Alligator mississippiensis: one gene and its partner. The protein of the gene in region 1 purifies or fractionates together with the protein of each later gene. This does not show direct contact. Links are inferred from orthologs where the notes say so. Each region holds a gene or a part of one and is shown in the gene's direction. Other genes may lie near its edges.

Region 1 (9,244 bases):
CTGAATTTTCGTGCTTTTGTGGGTTTAAGTGAAGCAGTTAACGTCCTTCAGGAGAGGGTTTTGTGTTTAATATACATGAGTTCATTCAGCTACAATGGGAAAAGAAAACTCATTTGTTCTTATAAAACTCGGAAGGAAAGATCCCTTTAAATAGACTGCCAAAAGGGACTCTGCGGAAGGGGCTCGAGGCCTGCGCCCCCCTGGACCCAGGCGGAGGATCGCTTCGCTCGGGGAAGCCCCAGCCCCGGTTGCAAGGGCCCTCGGAGGGGCGAGGGCCGGGGGTATAACTCGGGTAGAGAGCAGGGGGCTGGCCGGGAGGTGTCGGACGGCTCCTGACTCTGACAGGTGTTTTAGTGCCACTGAGGTTGCGCTAAAAGGTTGAATTTTCTCGAGGCTGCGGAGCTGCTTTGGGTTGTTTTCCCAGGGCCCGGCGGGAGCGGAAAGCCGAGGCATGAGATATACTGGGGGGGGGGACCCATGCTCGGTGACAGGGTCTTGTGCTCCGCGTTGAACGCGAGGTCCCTGCTGCCCCAGGCTCGCCGAGCTCCGCGGCCCCCTCCCGTCTGCAGGGCCAGCCCGGCGGCAGGGGCCGTGGGAGTGGGGGGCGCGCGGGTGGAGGCGTCGCCCGGCCCCCGCGCGGCCTGGCACCGGGGGTCGCCCATCGCCACTGCCCCCCACACCCCCACCCCTCCCTCGGCCGCACGTGCGCTCCGTGTGTCCTGCTCCGTTAGAGAGAAGTGGGCTGGAGCGGAGCCTGCTGTGCGCTCCGCGCCGTCGAGGGGCCGCAGAGCCCTGCAAGGGGGATCCGGAGAGAGACGGGGGTGGTTGAAGCGGGGCTGCCCGGGCCCGCCTGGATGCGGGATGCCACTGCTGGCTGCCGGCAGGACAGACTGGAGCAAAGCCCCGGTTAAACCGTTTTAAATTACCAAGGAAAGAAATGAGATAGGTACATACACATATTACACTCCCCCCCATCTATCTATCTATCTATCTATCTATCTATCTATCTATCTATCTATCTATCTATCTATCTATCTATCTATCGATACATAGATATCTACACACATATCTATCTAGCTATCTATCTAGCATAGATAGATAGATAGATAGATAGATAGATCTACACACACACTCTCTCCATATATATGGAAGCAGCGTGGGCTACGCGTGGTCCCGGCGCCCGGCTCGCCCCCCAGATTGCCTCCCCCCCACCCAAGAGACAAGCGTGCAGAGATTAGCACGCTTCGAGGAGAAGGGGGCTGGTGCCTCTCTCGGGATTATAGATCCCGTCTCAGCCAAACCTGGCACGTTATTTGGGTTGATTGTCATTGCTCGGTGATCTCTCCCCAAGGCTGGGGGAGTTTCCCCCTCTCTGAAAAAATGCAGAAAGCTGAATCTCACATTTTAAAGCCTTGTTAGTGGGGGTCGGGGCGAACTGCCTGCCAAAAAGAAGGAATGGACTGGTTACTGATTTGACTCGTGAAATATCAGCCTGGAAAGACTTTTAGGACCTGGCAGTACTTAAAAAAAAAAAACCCAAAAACCACCAACCCCCCCCCCCCAAACGCCAGAGCTCAGCTCATCTGTGTAATACCCCCAGGACATGACCCCCCTTCCTTCATACCTATTAATGGTTGTAAATGAACAAAGCCTTTTACCAGAACAACACCAGTGTTGGCCTAAAACCTTCCTTGGGGTGTTTCTTGGGGGAGATCTTCCTCGGGAACTATATTGGGGCGGGGGGAGCAATTTTCCTCCAGGGTTTGCTGCTTGTACTGCAATAACGCGCCTTGTGCCATTAGGGGTTCACCAGGGAGTGGGTTACAGTGAGTCTGGCAAAACTTCCCTGGGCTAACTTTAGCCTCTGTGCAGTTAGCTGGTTCCAGAATTAGAAAGGGGGGGGGGGGGGGAAATCTCTCTGTACATTTTCGTCTTCAGATTTTTTTTTAACGTAATGAAATTAAAACTTTTGGAGCTCACAGTTGACGTTTTGCAGAAAATTGAGTTATCAAGGCAGTAATTATTTCACAGGGAGATAAAACTCTCATAGCCCTAACTGTCAAATAGGGCCCTTTTCAGATTTTAATTACAAAATAAAATTAGTCTGCTCTTCCTCGGAAGGGTTTGTGAGTGGCTAAACAGAGCTTTCCCCAATACTGGTGGTCGTCAAACTCTGCTAATTAGCAATGCTGAGAAATTCCAGTTAACAAGGACATTCTGTAAGTCTCTGCAGGTTCCCCGCCGCTCGCCTTCATTTCCATAAGAAGATTAAGAGTGGAGGGGAACACACTCAAATGCAGATGCAGAAAAGAAGCGTTTTTAACAAGCATCATAATAGTAAGATGCTTGGCTAGTTCTCACCTAATTACTGCAAGTTAAACCTCTATTTGCAGCTAAGGACAAAAAAAAAAAAAAATCGAGGCTGCAATCTTCCATCTCCACCAGGCTGCTTAATAGTTTGCTTTAGATTTGTTACTAGCAAGGTCAGTGCGAAAAAATTATGTAGATATCCCTGATGTTATAGTCCCCGATAGGCTGCATCTTCAGGGCTTTTAGAAGAAATTGGTGGGTGCAGCCCGGGTCCGCACAAGAAATAAATAAAAATCCAAGTCGTTAACATCCATTTTCTCGTTAATAAGCTCATCACCCCCGAATAAGCGCGAACCCGCCTCGGACTCCCGCGCTGAGCGCGTTTGCGGACTATTTGTTTAATGTGAGCACTTTTCATTTCCATAAATTATACCAAAGGCAACGATTTTTAAAATCCATTCAGATTAAACCATGCCTCTCTAGGCCTCCCTTTTAAAAATCTCGATCTTCTTCAATAGACCGTTGTCGTTATTGTTACTAATACTGAAGCTGGAGGAAGGCTCTCATTGTTTTTTTACATTATTTAAACGAGTAGCCAGGAACCCGGTTTATGGAGCCAGAAACGTGCACGTAGGAAACGGAGAAGAACAAATTGTGAAAGAGCTATCACCTTTATCTTATTTTTCTATAGCGCATTATTATGTATATATGCCAGAGGCAGTTTATTGCATTGATAAGTAAAACACGGTTAATTAAAATAAAGCTGTAAATACTCATGATAACACAATTGTTAGGTATTTCCATCGCTTATTTATATGATAAATGCAATTAACAAAGAGCCAAGCCAGCCACTTTAACCTCTTCAATGTGTTATTAGAGAGTTCAGGCACAAATATATGCATCTAGTTACGTGTAAAATCTTGCCTTGCCTTTGCTGCAGCCAAGGCTCACACACAGACACACACACACTCCCAACTGATTCTGCCTCTGTAACTACAGTAGAGAACAAAAATAAGACTTGCTTGTCTAACACCAACCATCAGTTATCAATTTATTACGATAAACAAACACCACCACCCCCTTCCCCCCTCCCCCAATTTAATTATCCATAAGGTTTTTTGTGTGTGTGTTTTTTGGAATAATGTTATCAAGTGCAGCCCCAGGCGTAAACAATACCAAAGTAAATAGTTGCGTGCCCTCAGTAGCGTCTGGACAATCAGAATTCGTTTCTAGCTTGAATCTCATAATTTGTACCTATTTTCCTCTGCTTTAACCTATCACTTATCTACGGGCTATATGTACATTTTCGAATTAAACGCATTAAATCTGATAGGATTTATTTACATAATCCATAAAAAGATGCATCCGTGCTGTTGGGGTTTGTTTTTTTTTTATTACTTAGATTACATATAATTATTTCCACCCCCCCCTTTCCTTTTATTATTTTTAAACATTTCATTTGAAAAGTGAGAGCGAGCCTTGCCTGGGAGCCGAGTCTGCCAGTAGGGGGCGCACCAGCCCCATCCCTGAAGCCCCCGCGCTCGGAAAGTCCAGGGCAGCCTCCAAGTTATTTCTCACCTCCCTTTGTGTGTGTGTGTGTGTGTGTGTGTGTGTGTGTGTGTGTTTCTAAATCGTTCTTTCGGCACTGGATTTAATCTGATGCAGACCTGAAATCCAGCAGATTGTACAGTCCGCGCACAGCACCAAATACAGTCAGTCTCGGGAGGTTTTCAGTCGCGCCAAACTTTCCTGGGGAGGCCGCGGGGCAGGCTCCGAGCCCGGGGCGCAGGGCGGAGCGCGCCCCGGTGCGGCGTGCCCGTCCAGACAGCTCGCCACGTTTTCAGCCCCAGGAAGAGGGGGGCGAAGGGAGCCCCTGCCCGTGGGAGCACTTCATAAAACAGAAATGGCGTGAGGCTTCCCCCCCCCCCTTTCTTTGTAGTCAAGTGCATTTTAGCAACAAAGATCCCAACAAGAGAGTGGAAGTAAACTTAGCCGGGCCTTTGTTTGGCCCCGTGTAGCGACAACAAGAGAAACAAAACTACCTATTTGTAACGGACGTGCTGCCATCTCTCCCCGCCATTGAGCTCCCACCTATTGAAGTCTTTACGTCGGGACAATGGGGCCGAGTCTAAAATTACCCTCCCGAGCCCAGGGCGGCTTCCCACTCCCGCGTCCTGCCCCTGCCGCGCGGCCCGCGGCCCGGGGAGCAGCACGCGGGGCGCGGGGCTGGGGCCAGGCGGGGGTCGCCGCAGCTGGGGGGCGGCCCCCTCCCCCGGGGCTGCAAGCAGACGCCCGGGGCATGGCGGGGGAGCTCGGCCCCTTCTTTCTGGGAGGCGCAGGGGGCTTCCAGGCTGTGAATGGAGCCGGGCTAGGGGGAGGGGAGGGCCTGCTCCCCTGCACCTGCCCTGCACAGGCCCCTCCGCGAGAGCCGGCGGTGGGGGGAGAGGCAATGGCAGGCAGGGGAGGCCCGCACCCAACACACGCAACTTTGCGGAGGCCTCGCGCTCCCCCGCGGCTTTCCCCCGCACCAAGTTGTGTGTGTGTGTGTGTGTGTGCGCGCGCGCGTGTTTTTAATGTAGCAACAATGCTGTTTACCCACTTCCTCCAAAAGGCGTGTGTGACCTGTTGCTGGAAGAGGCGCGACAAAGCCTCGCTAGTGGCTGCCTGGCTCGGCCGAGGGCCCGCCCCCCGTCCCCCCCCCCGGGCCGGCCCGGCGGCGCCCGCAGCCCCCGCCCCGTTTCATGCAAAACCAGGGGTAGAGGCTCGTCCTCAGTGGAGGAGCCGGCGCGCGCTGATTGGCCGGGCCCAGCGCATTTATTCCCTGACAAGCCCCCATCACATGGATGGTTGTCTATTAACTTGTTCAAAAAAGTATCAGGAGTTGTCAAGGCAGAGAGAGAGAAAGAGAGGGAGAGGGAGAGGGAGTGCGCGTGTTTGCAAAAGGGGGCAAAGGAGTTTGCTGGCTCTTTAAGACCGAGGTGGAGGGAAAGCGCTGGAGAGAGGCAGAGAAAAGGGGCAAAAAGGAGAAAGAAGAAGTTTGGGTTTTTGGTTTGGTTTTTTTTTTGTTTTGTTTTGGTTTTTTGGTTGTGGTTTTTTTTTTTTTTTTTTTTGCAAAGCCAGGCTGCAGCAGCCGCCACCGCCACCGGCCTGATCCCTCCGACAGGCAAGAGGAAGCCCCTGATCCTGATCCAAGCGCGGGGTGTTTCGGGGAGCCCCCTCCCCCCCTTGCACACCCCTCCCTAGCCGGAGAGAAAGTCCAGCTCGGGACGTTTGCTTCTCGCTTCTCCGCGGAAGCCTCGGGCCAGGCAGAAGCCGCTTGAATGTACAACATGATGGAAACCGAGCTCAAGCCGCCCGCCCCCCAGCCCGCCTCGGGAGGCGGCACGGGCAACTCCAACTCGGCCGCTCCCAACCAGAAGAACAGCCCGGACCGGGTCAAGCGCCCCATGAACGCCTTCATGGTCTGGTCCCGGGGCCAGCGGCGGAAAATGGCCCAGGAGAACCCCAAGATGCACAACTCGGAGATCAGCAAGCGGCTCGGGGCCGAGTGGAAACTTTTATCCGAGGCGGAGAAGAGACCCTTCATCGATGAAGCCAAGCGGCTCCGCGCTCTGCACATGAAGGAGCACCCGGATTATAAATACCGACCCCGGCGGAAAACCAAGACCCTGATGAAGAAGGATAAGTACACGTTGCCAGGGGGCTTGCTGGCGCCGGGCACCAATAGCATGACCACCGGGGTCGGGGTTGGGGCCACCTTGGGAGCTGGGGTGAACCAGAGGATGGACAGTTATGCTCACATGAACGGCTGGACCAACGGAGGGTATGGGATGATGCAAGATCAGCTCGGCTACCCCCAGCACCCGGGCTTGAACGCGCACAACGCGGCTCAGATGCAGCCCATGCACCGCTACGACGTGAGCGCCCTGCAGTACAACTCCATGACCAGCTCGCAGACCTATATGAACGGATCGCCCACCTACAGCATGTCTTACTCCCAGCAAGGGACCCCGGGCATGGCCCTGGGCTCCATGGGCTCTGTGGTCAAGACGGAATCCAGCTCCAGCCCCCCAGTAGTTACTTCCTCTTCCCATTCCAGGGCTCCTTGCCAAGCTGGGGACCTTCGGGACATGATCAGCATGTATCTACCAGGTGCTGAAGTACCAGAACCAGCTGCCCCAAGCAGACTTCATATGTCCCAACACTACCAGAGTGCACCTGTTCCTGGCACAGCCATTAATGGCACACTTCCTCTATCACATATGTAAGACAAAGGGGCAGGGGGGGAAGGAGAGCTGAACTCCAACCAACAAACAAAAAACTTTTATTAGAGATTCTGGACTTTTTTTTTTTTTTGGACTATTTTTGTACAGAGAAAACTGGGGAGGGCAGAAAAAACAAAACAAAACAAACAAACAAAAACTAACCCCGCCGAGGACCTTGTATAGATCTGAAGGGGAAGAAACTACACAAAACTTTTTAAAAGTTCTAGTGAAACGGTAGGAACTTTGCAGAAAGTTTGCAAAAGTCTTTACCAATAATATTTAGAGCTAGACTCAAAAAGCGACGAGGAAAAAAAATGTTTTAATATTTGCAGGCGACTTTTGTACAGTATTTATCAAAATAAACATGGCAATCAGAATGTCCATTGTTAATATGGGGGGGAAACACTTGAGAATTTGCCAATTATTTTTTAAAAACAAAGTAGAGTTTACTTGGAGCCGCGCAGCTGAATTATAGCAGCTGCCAAAGGAGTGGAGATTTATTTTACAGAATTTGGACATTTTAATTGTTTTAGAAATTGTACAAAAGGCAAAAAAATGTAGGATAAGTACTTGCAAACCAGTGAATTGGTTTTCTATAAAAGGGCAAACGTTTAGATTGTACTAAATTTTTTTTACTTGTTAAAAAGCAAAAATTGCCACTGCAGGTTCACATACCGTTTGTTAATTTATAATAGCCTTTTTGTTTCCAGAATTCATCCTGTTCAGAGAGAGAGAGAGAGACAGAGAAACCACACACACAAGCTGAAATGACTGTGTTTGAAATATTTTCTTATGGTTTGTAATATTTCTGTAAATTTATTGTGATGCTATTTTAAGTTCCTTTTTTTTTTCCTCTCATTTTCCGTAGTTGTATTTTAAAGATTCGGCTCTGTATTATTTGAAATCAGTCTGCCGACAGTCCATGTATATATTTGAACTAATACCATCCTTATAACAGGTACATATTCAACTTAAGTTTTTACTCCATTATGCACAGTTTGAGATAAATAAATTTTTGACATATGGACACTGAAGTTACGCCTGAGTCTTGCATTTCTTTTTTGTAATACGAGCTGTTTTGATTTTTTTTTTAAAGAAAAAATAATAATAATAATGCAGTTCAAGGTCTGACCGTAGTCAGCTGAGTGTGGTCAGTTCATGACAACACGGTGTAAGTAAGTACCGCGCGAAAAGCTCGGCTCTGGCGCTGGAGAAGAGCAGGGCTCGGAGTAGGTGGAAACTGCAGTCCTCCTTGCGGGCCTGAGAAGCGCGCGGTGTAAGTGCCAGCCCGGGAGACTTGTGCCGAGGCGAAGGGAGGTGTGTGGACTTGGTGCTGAGACCACTTGTTGCCGCTGGGCTGAGCTGGGACCTTGCACTTGGTGTCAAGTGAAACGGGCGCGCGTGGCAGGAGCGGAGCGAGTGCGAAGGCAACAAGTAAGCGGCGTGGCTCGCGGGCTGGCTGGGGGCACGCGGGCCGGGCCGCAGCGGAGCGTTGTGCCGTCGCGCCGGGCCGGGCGGGGCCGGGCCGGGGCCAGAGCATCCCCGCCGGCCGCGCGGAGGGTGCTGGCGGGGCGGAGGCGCCGGCGGGGCGTGCGGAGCTCTGCTTCCTTTGTCTGTGCCTTCCTCAACTTTCTCCCCCTTTATTTTTGTTTTTTTTCCAGCGCAGAAGAGGCGCGTGTGAGGTAGGGGGGAGGCCAGGTAAAAATCGCCGCTGCCCGACACTCCCCAGCTGTTTCTGGCTTACAAGGCCAGCGCGGTGTAGCCCAAACCCCGACAGTCCCGGCAGCGGCTCCAGGCCGAAAGAGAAGCGGTGGCGCCAGCCCCATAGCGGAGGAGCGCAGCCATCTCTCCGAGGTAGCCTTTTCCTTTGTACACTTCCGACCGCAGCTTGCAGCTGCCTGCTCCGTGCAACCAGCCGGGCCCCAGCAGCCTGCGGCCGGGGGCTGCAGGCCCGGCCTGGTGCACGGGGCAGGGGGCACCAAGCCGGAGGCAGCTCGACTCGCAGAGGGTTAAGGATGGCTCCTAACCCCGAGGGGAGGGGAGGGGACGAGGGGAGGGTGGCTTGCATCTCCACACTCCTGCCCCAGCTGAATGTAGAGCCGGGAAATTACCATCCTGCAGGAACGACCTTGTGCCTGGATGGCACTTCTGCGCGCCGGGCACGGCTTGCACTGGGAAAGGGCTGGTTTGAGATGCGGGGGGGAGCAGGTGCCTTTAAACATGTACCTAGAGGATTTTTGTGCCGGTTGCCACTGAAATCGCGGGCGAGCAGCCATGGCTTTTACAGGGTCGTGCTATTTCTCAGGTTCAGTTCCGGCCTCCCGGTCTTTCCCTCGTGGCCAACTGAGAAGTCAAATTTGCAGAGCAGGAGACGGGGGCTTTGGAGCACTGTCTGCTTCTGGATTTTATCTTGATTTGTCCTCCCCTTTACCTCTTTCCTTCCCCCCCCCCCCCCCCCGTGGTGTACTTGGAAAGCACAACTGCTATTCTAGATTACAAGCCAACCTCCTCCCCCCCCCCCTTTTTAATTAATGCAAAGACTAAAAGAATTTCGCAGAGTTGCAGCATTTGTAACGCATCTGGGGATTATTCACGTGGCAAGGAGCACATTTCCTCGCTCTCTGTGCCCGTTGCAATTCAGTTAAAAATCAAAACAGCCCAAACGTCGT
Region 2 (9,272 bases), on another chromosome or scaffold:
AAAAAAGGGGGCATGTGAAGGAGAAAGAGGTGGGACCCCATTAGTGACAACCCGTCCCGTCCCCTCCCAGAATCCCCACCACTCCTGGCTTGACCCAGCGAAGTGGGCGGCTACATTAAAACTGCCAAGGAGAAGGCTGGAACAAGAGCTCTTCTGTTCTCCAAGCCAGCATGAAAACCCCCCTCCGGGCCTCTTCGCTGGGCGCAGCCTGGCAGCTCTGCGCTCCGCAGCGCACAGTGTCTAGCTCTGAAACCAAACAAAGGCAGCTTCTTGGAAAGCCGGCTGATTAACGATCCCATCATCCCAATCTCAGGGGATAATTGCAATAATGCAGAAGCCGGCCCATCCACTCCAGCTGCTTTCTGCTTCCTTATTCGACCCACGTAGGAAGGGGCAGAGGGAGCGGGGAAGGCCACGCGCTCAATCCTGAAACCAACCTGCTTCCCGTTTCCACCCAGAGGAAAAGCCTCTCCACGTGGCAGCTTTGCCCTGGAGGTTGCCTAGCACTGCCTGGCTGAACGCCACAGTCATGGAAACAACCGATTCTTAATTATTATGGCTTTGCATTTCAGTAACACCCAGATGCTCCATCCAAGGTCAGGGCTCTTTTTTCTGCTGTACGAATGCATAAGAGACTTGTAGCTTCACAGAGCTTGCAATCTCAACAGATCTGACAGATAAAGGCAGACAGAAAGGTGGGAGTATTATCCCCATTTTCTAGCTGGGAAGCTGAGACAACGAAGCAGCTTGGTTCGCCCGGGGAGTCTGTGGCAGACAGCCCAGATTTCCCAGTGCCAGCAAAGTCTTTGACAAGTGACCTTCCTTCCCTTAAAACTGAAACTATTTTTTTTGTCATTCCTGAGTGGGTTAAAAGCAAGTGACTAATACCAGCTGTCAGCTGCGATAGCCACATTGACGCAGCCTCAGCACAATGGTGCCAGCTGCAGTACTGCTACCCAGCGGTGTACCCAACACTGGGCCCTGCCCCACTGCCAGCTGCACGGCCTGTCCGTGGAACGTGCCTCCAGGTTTGGGGATGTACCTGCAGGGACACCCATTGCTCCTCTCCTGCAGTTCAAGCACACAAAATACCGATCTCATGGAAGAGACGGACAGTGCCAGCCAGAGGGGCAGTAGGACCAAGAAAATGAAGAAAGGGCCGTGAAAGCCATGAGATATGTGGATATGACTGCGTCCATGAGAATCTAAAGCAGCGGTTCTCAACCTTTTTAGACCCCAGGCACCCCTCGTTAAGACTGGAGGCCCCCCTTGGAAAGTGCCAGTTCTTAATTTTCACTCATTTGTTTGACTCCAGCTCTCCTGTTGCAAAGAACTCGGAAATACCACAACAGGGACACAATGTTTTTAACACTATGGATGCCTATTTGAAATCTCAGGATTTATCCTGTGAATCATGTTTGCACCCATAACTGTGCTAACAGTGTGTGGCACCCTGAGGCACCGCTGAAAGGATTTCAGGGCAACCCAGGGTGCCGCAACACCCTGGTCGAGCATCCCTGATCTAAAGTTACTTTTTGTTGCATCAGTCCATGGCAATGAAGGCCTAGCTTTATTTTATAATTTTGCCAGCTTGGCAGCACTCCTTCCACATTTGTGGTTGGAGTCATTTTTTTTTCCAGACTGTCTTGGACAAATATAACAAAAGCAATAGGAAGGGAGAGAGAAAAGGAGAAGGAAACAAGCAGGGTGGGAAAGCTAATAGGAAACCAGGCTATTTGTATGAGAGGTGGTGGGTTGGGGAAGAGATGCACTCGTGACCTCAGAACCCCATTCAGCCCCAGCAGATGAGCTGAGCTCATTGTATCTCTGCTGCAGATCTCCAGGAGCAGTTCCCAAAAAAACTGGGTCTGACAGGATGTCTTTGAAAAATACTCCACTAGGACCAGGCCCAGAGAAAACGTCTAACTTAGGTCTTGTTTTGCTTCTGCAGTTTTGCTCAGATGCTGGGGACCAGGAGCGGTATCAAACCTGGAGATGTTTGCACCTCAAGGATTGGGAAGAGCTCCTGGCCAGGGTGCTTTGTAAAGACAAGATTTGACAGAGGGAAGAGGGGCTGATTCACAGGTGAGTTCAGGCACCTCGTAGCTGCAGCGAGTGGGGAGGATGTGTGCAGGAGCAGGTTGTGATCATCCCAGTCAGGGTGTGAGTTAGTAATAGGTCCTCAGGAAGCTCTTGATGTGTTGCCTTCCCCAATACAAGAAATAAGGGCAGGTAAGGAATTGCTCTGCACGTAAGTTCTCCACTGCCTAACTTGGGACAGTTTCAGTCCACTTTCTAGCATGTAGCTAGGTGGAGAATCTGGCCCAGAGGGAGGAGCACAGAAAGATGGAGAGCGACTCAGAGAAATGAAGACAACTGAGTGCAGGCAGCAAGGCTCAGGCTTCTGCTGTCTGAGCCCCAGAGGTTTCAGAAGATGTAATAGAAGCAGGCACAGAAGCTGTGCAGAAAGGAAAACCAGCAATGCTGACCGTGGAGAGGGGAGGCTGGATGCACTGGGACAGTTTCTAATCCTCTCTTGTGGTATTGAAATAGAAGGTAGAAATCCTGGGGCAACGATGACCCTTTAGCAGGAGCTGGGATGGCACGGTGGGTCCTAAACAGCCCGTGTGGTGCAAGCTAGTTCTAGGTCTTTGGGAACCTTATGCCAGTTCAAGATCACCTGTGACAGACCTCTGCTGCGTTGTGCCCCATGTGTACACCCCATATGTGCAGGTGTGACTGGGCAGCTGGGGTGGCTAGGCAGCACGAGACAGGTGAGAAATGCAATCAGGGAAAGGCAGGCAGGGAGAAAGGGTTAATTAATAGGGAGCTGGGTGAAGTGCGTGAGAAAAACAATCTCATGGATGCGAGACTGAAGACAAGGGAGAGAGCAACTGAATCCAGGAGAGTGAGAGCAGAAAAGAGCAAAGGGCAGCAAAAGAAAGCCAGGCAGTGCTAGGCATCCAAAACTATGCCATGCTCCTAGCTATAAGAAGCTGCCCTGCTGCATTGAGGTTGTGTGAGTAATAGTAGCTTAGGTGCATGGATGGGACTGTACATTTACTTGTATTGTACAAACATTAACTACTGAGTGAAGGGTTTGTCCAAACAGCACATTCAGTAAAGATCCATGCGCACATTGCTGATTGTAGCCAAGTGAGAGAAGTACAGAGATCTGGGATCTGTCACCTGCTGGCATCAAAGTTTCTCCTTCATGGGCTCTTTCCCCAGCTTCTTCTATTCCAGGGGTGCTCAACCCCTAGCCTGCGAGCTAAATCCAGCCCATAGAGCTGTGACGTCCTGCCCACGGGGATCTCTGCAGGGTGGAAAAAACTGGCAGCTGGGGAGCGAGGAAGCTCCATGCAGTGGGATCCAGCCTTGCCCAGGCCATTGCCGCACAGCAGGATCAGGGACAGGCCTGCCCCTTGTCTATCCGGATCTGGCTGGGCGGCTCCCTGCCCCCTCCATGCGTCCAGGCAGAGGCCACTCCACCCCATCGGCATCCGGATCATGGCTGGGCTGCTCTCCACTTCCACCCCCGATGTGTCTGGATCAGAACCAAGTTGCTCTCCACCCACCCCTCACCACATCCTGATCGGGACAGCTCCATTCAGCGCCCCCACACACATCCAGATGGGGACCAAGCTGCTCCCCAACCCCCTGTGGATGGATCTGGGTCAGGCTGCACAGTCCCCTGGGCTAAATGGAGTTGCTCCAGCAACCCCACGTTCTGGCTGGGTCGAGCCCACCAGCCTGATCCAGCCTGCGGCCAGATATGGCACTGCCCATCTAGTCTGTGGGGTGAAAAGATTGGGCACCACTCATCTACTCCATGCGTTAGAGACCTGGTTGAAATATAGTTCAGTCCCAGCTACACCAACAAGACTCCTACCATGAAGTCAGTCCTGCTATCAACAGAAGTCATATTGCATACAGGCAGAGTCTGAACCCAAAAGACAAGTGCAGGCTCTGGGTCGGGGGGGGGTTGTCAATTAAGACATTCGGAGATCAAGAAACTTGCCTTCCTCAAATGAGCTTTCTATATGCTGCCATCACAGACTGATGGAAATAAAAATGCAGAAGACTCAGCCTCCCTGCTTTAGGACATAAACGGATCTATGCGTATACTATTTGTATACACTCTGGGACAATGAGATGAATCTGTCACTTACAGCAGCGGTTCCCAATCTGGTACGGGTACCACCACCGGTACGCAGAGAACCTGTCAGCGGCACGTGTTACCCATGGGCAACTGGTGCCGCCTGATTCAGGGGGACACATGCGAGCGCGGCCTGTCAGGGGGCGCACCCCATATGCATCGCGACTAGTATTAACAGATGTATTATCATTACTTTATATGACAAAAATTTGCTGGTGGCACTTAAGGTTGCGTTGTTTTAAAATGATGGTGCGCTGTCAGAGCTTGGGAACTGCCGACTTATAGGATAATTACTGCTGATGTTGGCTTGGCAGCCGAGGGCCATGCCCTCGCCGGTGGTTGAAGGAACGTGTCCGCTAATGACCACGCAGGGGCCTTCCAAGTGGAGGTCGGTCCTGCAGAGCACCCTTTGGGGGGCTTTCTGGGTGTCATCAAGATTTGCACCAAGGGATCCCCATGCTAACCCAGCCCCCCAGGGCTCCTGCGCAGTGCACACACGGGGTGGGGGCGGATTTAGAACCAGTGCACCCAGGTGCTTCGTGTCGCAGTATCAGCCATAGGAGGCTTGCGTGTCAAATGTGCTGCAGGCTATCTGGCAGGGTCCGGATGGGCTCCCAGGCAAGCAAGGCCAGCCTGCTAGTGCTCAGGGAGGGGAGCATGAGGCCAGGGCTGGGCTGCTTTGCTCCAAAGATCCCAAGGTCTAACCCTTACCCCCGGCCCCAACTCAGGGCTCCATCTCTCCCGCCACACCATGCTGGCCAGGCCCAAGCCAGGGAAGGACCCGCGCATGCGCAGAGCGGCAGCCAGGCCATGCCCTGGGCAGGCAGAAGACGCACACGTGCGTCGAACTCCTGCAAGGGACGGGGGGCGGGGAAGAGGGAGGAACTGTAACGCGCATGCGTTGCGATCGCTCCCGGACGCTTTGTTCGCCCCAAGGCTGCGATTGCGCGTGCGCAATGCAGCCCCTCCCCGCGTGCTAGGCTTCTACGCATGCGCACTGGGCCCCCTCGGTACTTTGTTCTCGGCGGAACGAGGCAGGGCCGCTGCGCCTCTGCGCAGGCGCAATGGAAGGGGGCGCTCCTTTCTTTTTTGTTTCCTCCCGCTCGTTGCGCATGCGCACTCGGAGGCCCTGCGCAGCGCGTCTCAGCCGGCGCTTTGTTCTCGGCAGGCGGCCGGCGCCGCGCAGGCGCGGCGGGAGGGCGGCGCAGGCGCAGTGCGTCCGGAGCGGCGACGGCGGCGGAGCGGGAGCGAGCGGCGAGCGCTTCCGGCCCCTCACTTCCGGTCCCGGCCGCCGCGGCCCTCGGTGTGGCAACGCTGTCCGCCCCGCGCCGCCCGCCGCGCTCCGCGCCCATGCAGCGCCGCGACGACCCCGCCGCCCGCCTGGGCCGGCCCCCGGGCCCCGGCGCCCGGCCGCAGGCAGCGCAGCCCCCGCGCCGGCCGCCCCGCGGCGGGGCCCGCGGCGCCGCCGCCGCCCACCCGCCGGGCTCGCAGCCGCCGCCGCTGCTGCCGCCCGCCGCCACCGCCGGCGCCTCGCAGGCGCCCGCCGCCGCGCCCACCCCGCTGCTGCCCGGCGCCGCCGCCGTCAAGATGGAGCCCGAGAACAAGTACCTGCCCGAGCTCATGGCCGAGAAGGACAGCCTCGACCCGTCCTTCACGCACGCCATGCAGCTCCTCACGGCAGGTACGGCCGCGGCGGGGGGGAGGGGCGGCCCTGCTCCCGTCCCCGTCCCGTCGGTCGGCTGCCATGGCAACAGCGCGGGGGGAGGGGGTGGCAGCCCCCCCGCCGTGTATGAAAACCCAACAGCATTAGGAACCCCCCTCCCCAACCCTACAGTGGGTGGGTGGGTGAAAGGCAGGCGGAGAAGTTTCTCGGGGCACGGCCCCCTCCCAAAACCGACCCGCGGCGAGACGGGGAACGGCTGCCTTTGTTCTGCGCGGTTGCGGCTGCGCGCCCGCTCGGCTGCCCCAGGGCAAGCCCCTGGGGGGGGGTGGTAAGCAGCCGGCGGAAAAGGATTTTGCTTTACATCTATTAATGAAAACGGCGCGCGCTCCTTGCGAGCTGCCCGATGACGCCCCGGGTCCTTTCAGGCGATGATGCCGGCGCTGGGGCGGGGATGGGTGTGTGACATCGCCTGCCCGCCGACTCCAGGGGAGTTGCTGCAGCGTATCCGGCATCGCCGGCGTACGTCTGATTCCCGTATCGAATAATTTTATAACCTTGTTTTGATCCCGACTTAACTGCTTTTGCTCCCCGCCGTCTTCAGCCGCCTGATGTGCAGCCGCGCTCTGCTTGCTCCGTGCGGCGAAGGAGATGTTAGGAAGCTCCTATTCTTCCAGGCAGGTCGGTGTCCTTGGCCCGCTCGGCAAAGATCCGGGTACCGAGCGCCGCGCCGAGGTTTTGTATCGGACGTTTCCTTAGTCCGAACAACCTGGCTTGTGAATTATATCGGAGCGCTTGCCTCTGCAGTTGATCATCGCTTATAATTTAAGAATCCTTTTTTATTTTTCCTGTGCTGCAAAATCAGTTTGCTTATTTGGATTGCCTTGTAATGTGTTGTCTCGTGTGGCGTTTAGGATGGCGTTAGTCAAATTTCGAGGTCAGATGAGCAAAGGATTCTTGATGCAGCCGTTAAAAAATGAATTTTACAAAATGAATTTATAATTCTTCTTGTGGCCTCCTTCTCCCCTGCCCCCACTGATTTTTGGTCACTCGGCATATCCTGCTTCATCAAAGGGTGCTGTATAACATCGGTGTTGAAAAAGTCGTTAACCTTAATTTGGAATTTCAGGTTGGGGCTAAAGAGACTGAAAAATGTAAATGCGGCCAAAGCAGGTTTCTGAGGCAAAAGGGTTTTTCAAGCAGACTCTTAAAATAGCTGTGGTTACTGAACTTGAGCTGTATCTGTGCACTCTAAATTGGAGCCTTACAGCTGGCGGTTTTCAGACAATGCATGTTGCGCATGTTCCTGCCTCTGCTTGCATTTCCCAGGAGTTCCCCTTGGAAGTTTTGTCTTGAAATGAGAACTGTTGGCTCAAGAGCAATATTCTGCAGTACTCTAAAATGCACGTGCAAACTCCAGCTTTACTTTAAAAATACGATCAAGGAAATCAGCATTGATTTAAAGGACAGATGAAAGGGCTATAATGTAGTTGGTTTCCTGATCAATGGACAAGAGAGAGCTGTTTTCTAGGTCACTTGAACATGGGGATCCTGATGCACAGCTTCATCATGAGAGCTGTGTGTGTTTGAGCCCTTTTTCTGACTTTATGATCCAGGATTATGGGTTATCAGAGCAGTGAGTATGACGAAGGGATCACTAGAGCAGTGTCATAGCAGTTTAGGGATGTCTGAGCAACTGGAAACAATGCAAAGCGTTAAAACAATGAGGAATATAGAAGGCAATAAAAAGTTAACTGAAGAGGGGGGTGGAAAGGAGGAGGGGTCACAGCTTTGCAGGGGCAGGTGTTAAGGAGTAACGTCTCTGTTGATGCCCTTAAAAAAGTCCCCACTAATACTGTCCTAGTCCCTGCACTGTTCTGTATCCTCTTCCCAGTTCCTCAGCCTGTAGGTGGGTCCCATGCTGATGGCTGTTGTTCTGTGTGAAGGAGACTGGTTTTGACATTAGGAGAAATAAAGGGAACATGGTTTAGGAGCAGTAAACAGGATGTCTCAAGCCAGCTTTCCCTATCTGCCACCTCCAGCTCTGTGGCAGTAGTTACCCCATAATTGGATGGAATAACTACTGTCAAGGACCAGACGGGGAGTAGGTCAGTTGGAATGAAGTGCATGGGAGTGATGAAAAGTTCATAGTGAAAGGGATGGCCCAAAACCTTTGTTAATGTAGAGGTAAGTTTGCCTGGTACTGCCTCTTGCCCTTCCAGAACGTGGGTAGTAGTGGCTAAATGTAAAACTTGGAGAACCAGGAAGGAAAGGACTTAAGGTACACCCCCCCCAAAAAAACAAAAACACAGCTTAACTCTCCTGTAAAACATCAATACCGTGTCCATGCTTTACTCTCATAGATGGTAGTGAGCACATGAGCACTAATGATGCAAATTCAGCATGTGTTCTTTAAGACAAATCTTGGGTTTGGGTCAGGTGTAATGAATGGGAGCAGCCTAGGCTCCATTGCAGATGTGGCTGTTGCCCATCACTAAGCCCTGGAGACTGTAGAAACATATGTCTCTGTGCAGCTGACAGTCCCCATGGCAAGAAGGCATCCTTGTGTACTTCTGCAGAAATAGCCTGCCACATTCAGGACTGAAATGAGGCATGCTTGATCCCTCAAGGTAGGCATGTGCTGTTCCTTACAACTTTGGTCCAGGCTGTACTGCTCCACTTCACACAGTGAACGCAGCTGGGGTGTGTGCAGATAAATGCTGGGATTCAGCTCTGTAGAACACAGCACACTGGCACATTCTTAATCTTTCTGCTAATTGCTATTCATATATTCTGAGATTTTTAAAGCAGAAGGGGATCATGAGGTCATCTCATCTGACCTTCTAGATAACACAGGTCAGAACATTTCTCCCAGTTACTCTCCTGCTTCACCTAATAATCTGGTTCTTTTCCTAAAGCATTTCTTTGAACATTGTTCAGTCTTAACATGAACATAGAAATTACCACTTCCATCATTAGATGAATGCTTTGCACCATCTTTACTAAAGCACCCCAGAGGCTCTTGCCAGCTTAGCCGGAGGCAGAGTAGAGATGTTATTAGGGTGGCATGTATCTTAATTCATTTCCTGACTTTAAAGGGTTTAAGTTTAGCCCTGTTCTGTAAGGGTATGAACCACCTCTGGGTATCTTTAACTCTTATTGTTATCCTTTGGCCATTGATATGTGTATGACCATATTATTTAAGAACAGACTTGCCAAATGAGCTAAGAATGTCTTGTTAAATATCTGCAGCTTTTGCAGAAATAAAATGCTTGAGTAGGAGTCCCACTGCCTCCAGTAGAATCTCAATAGTTCCCCCTCTGTGTAACGTTCCTAAAGTAGAACTGTTTGTCATTTAATCCTGCAAATGAGACCGAGCTGCTTTTCGTGCCATCAGTGTAGTCCTTAGATGACTGAATTGCATAAGAAAATAAGCTATAATCAACTTCAAAA

The links. Proteins that work in one complex are often made in the same cells at the same time.
Region 2: the proteins of SOX2 (region 1) and KHDRBS1 purify together in Homo sapiens (affinity purification with mass spectrometry; 3 studies listed by BioGRID and IntAct, with this or other methods). This does not show direct contact. The link is inferred for Alligator mississippiensis from reciprocal best matches to the Homo sapiens genes SOX2 and KHDRBS1.

The regions. Positions count from the first base shown.
Region 1 is NC_081830.1:81,638,300-81,647,543, forward strand, and holds SOX2 (transcription factor SOX-2), read left to right. Parts: upstream 1-5,136; 5' UTR 5,137-5,630; coding exon 5,631-6,578; 3' UTR 6,579-7,609; downstream 7,610-9,244. UniProt on the Homo sapiens protein: Transcription factor that forms a trimeric complex with OCT4 on DNA and controls the expression of a number of genes involved in embryonic development such as YES1, FGF4, UTF1 and ZFP206. Binds to the proximal enhancer region of NANOG.
Region 2 is NC_081829.1:5,791,106-5,800,377, reverse strand, and holds the start of KHDRBS1 (KH domain-containing, RNA-binding, signal transduction-associated protein 1), read left to right. Parts: upstream 1-5,406; 5' UTR 5,407-5,509; coding exon 5,510-5,840; intron 5,841-9,272. UniProt on the Homo sapiens protein: Recruited and tyrosine phosphorylated by several receptor systems, for example the T-cell, leptin and insulin receptors. Once phosphorylated, functions as an adapter protein in signal transduction cascades by binding to SH2 and SH3 domain-containing proteins.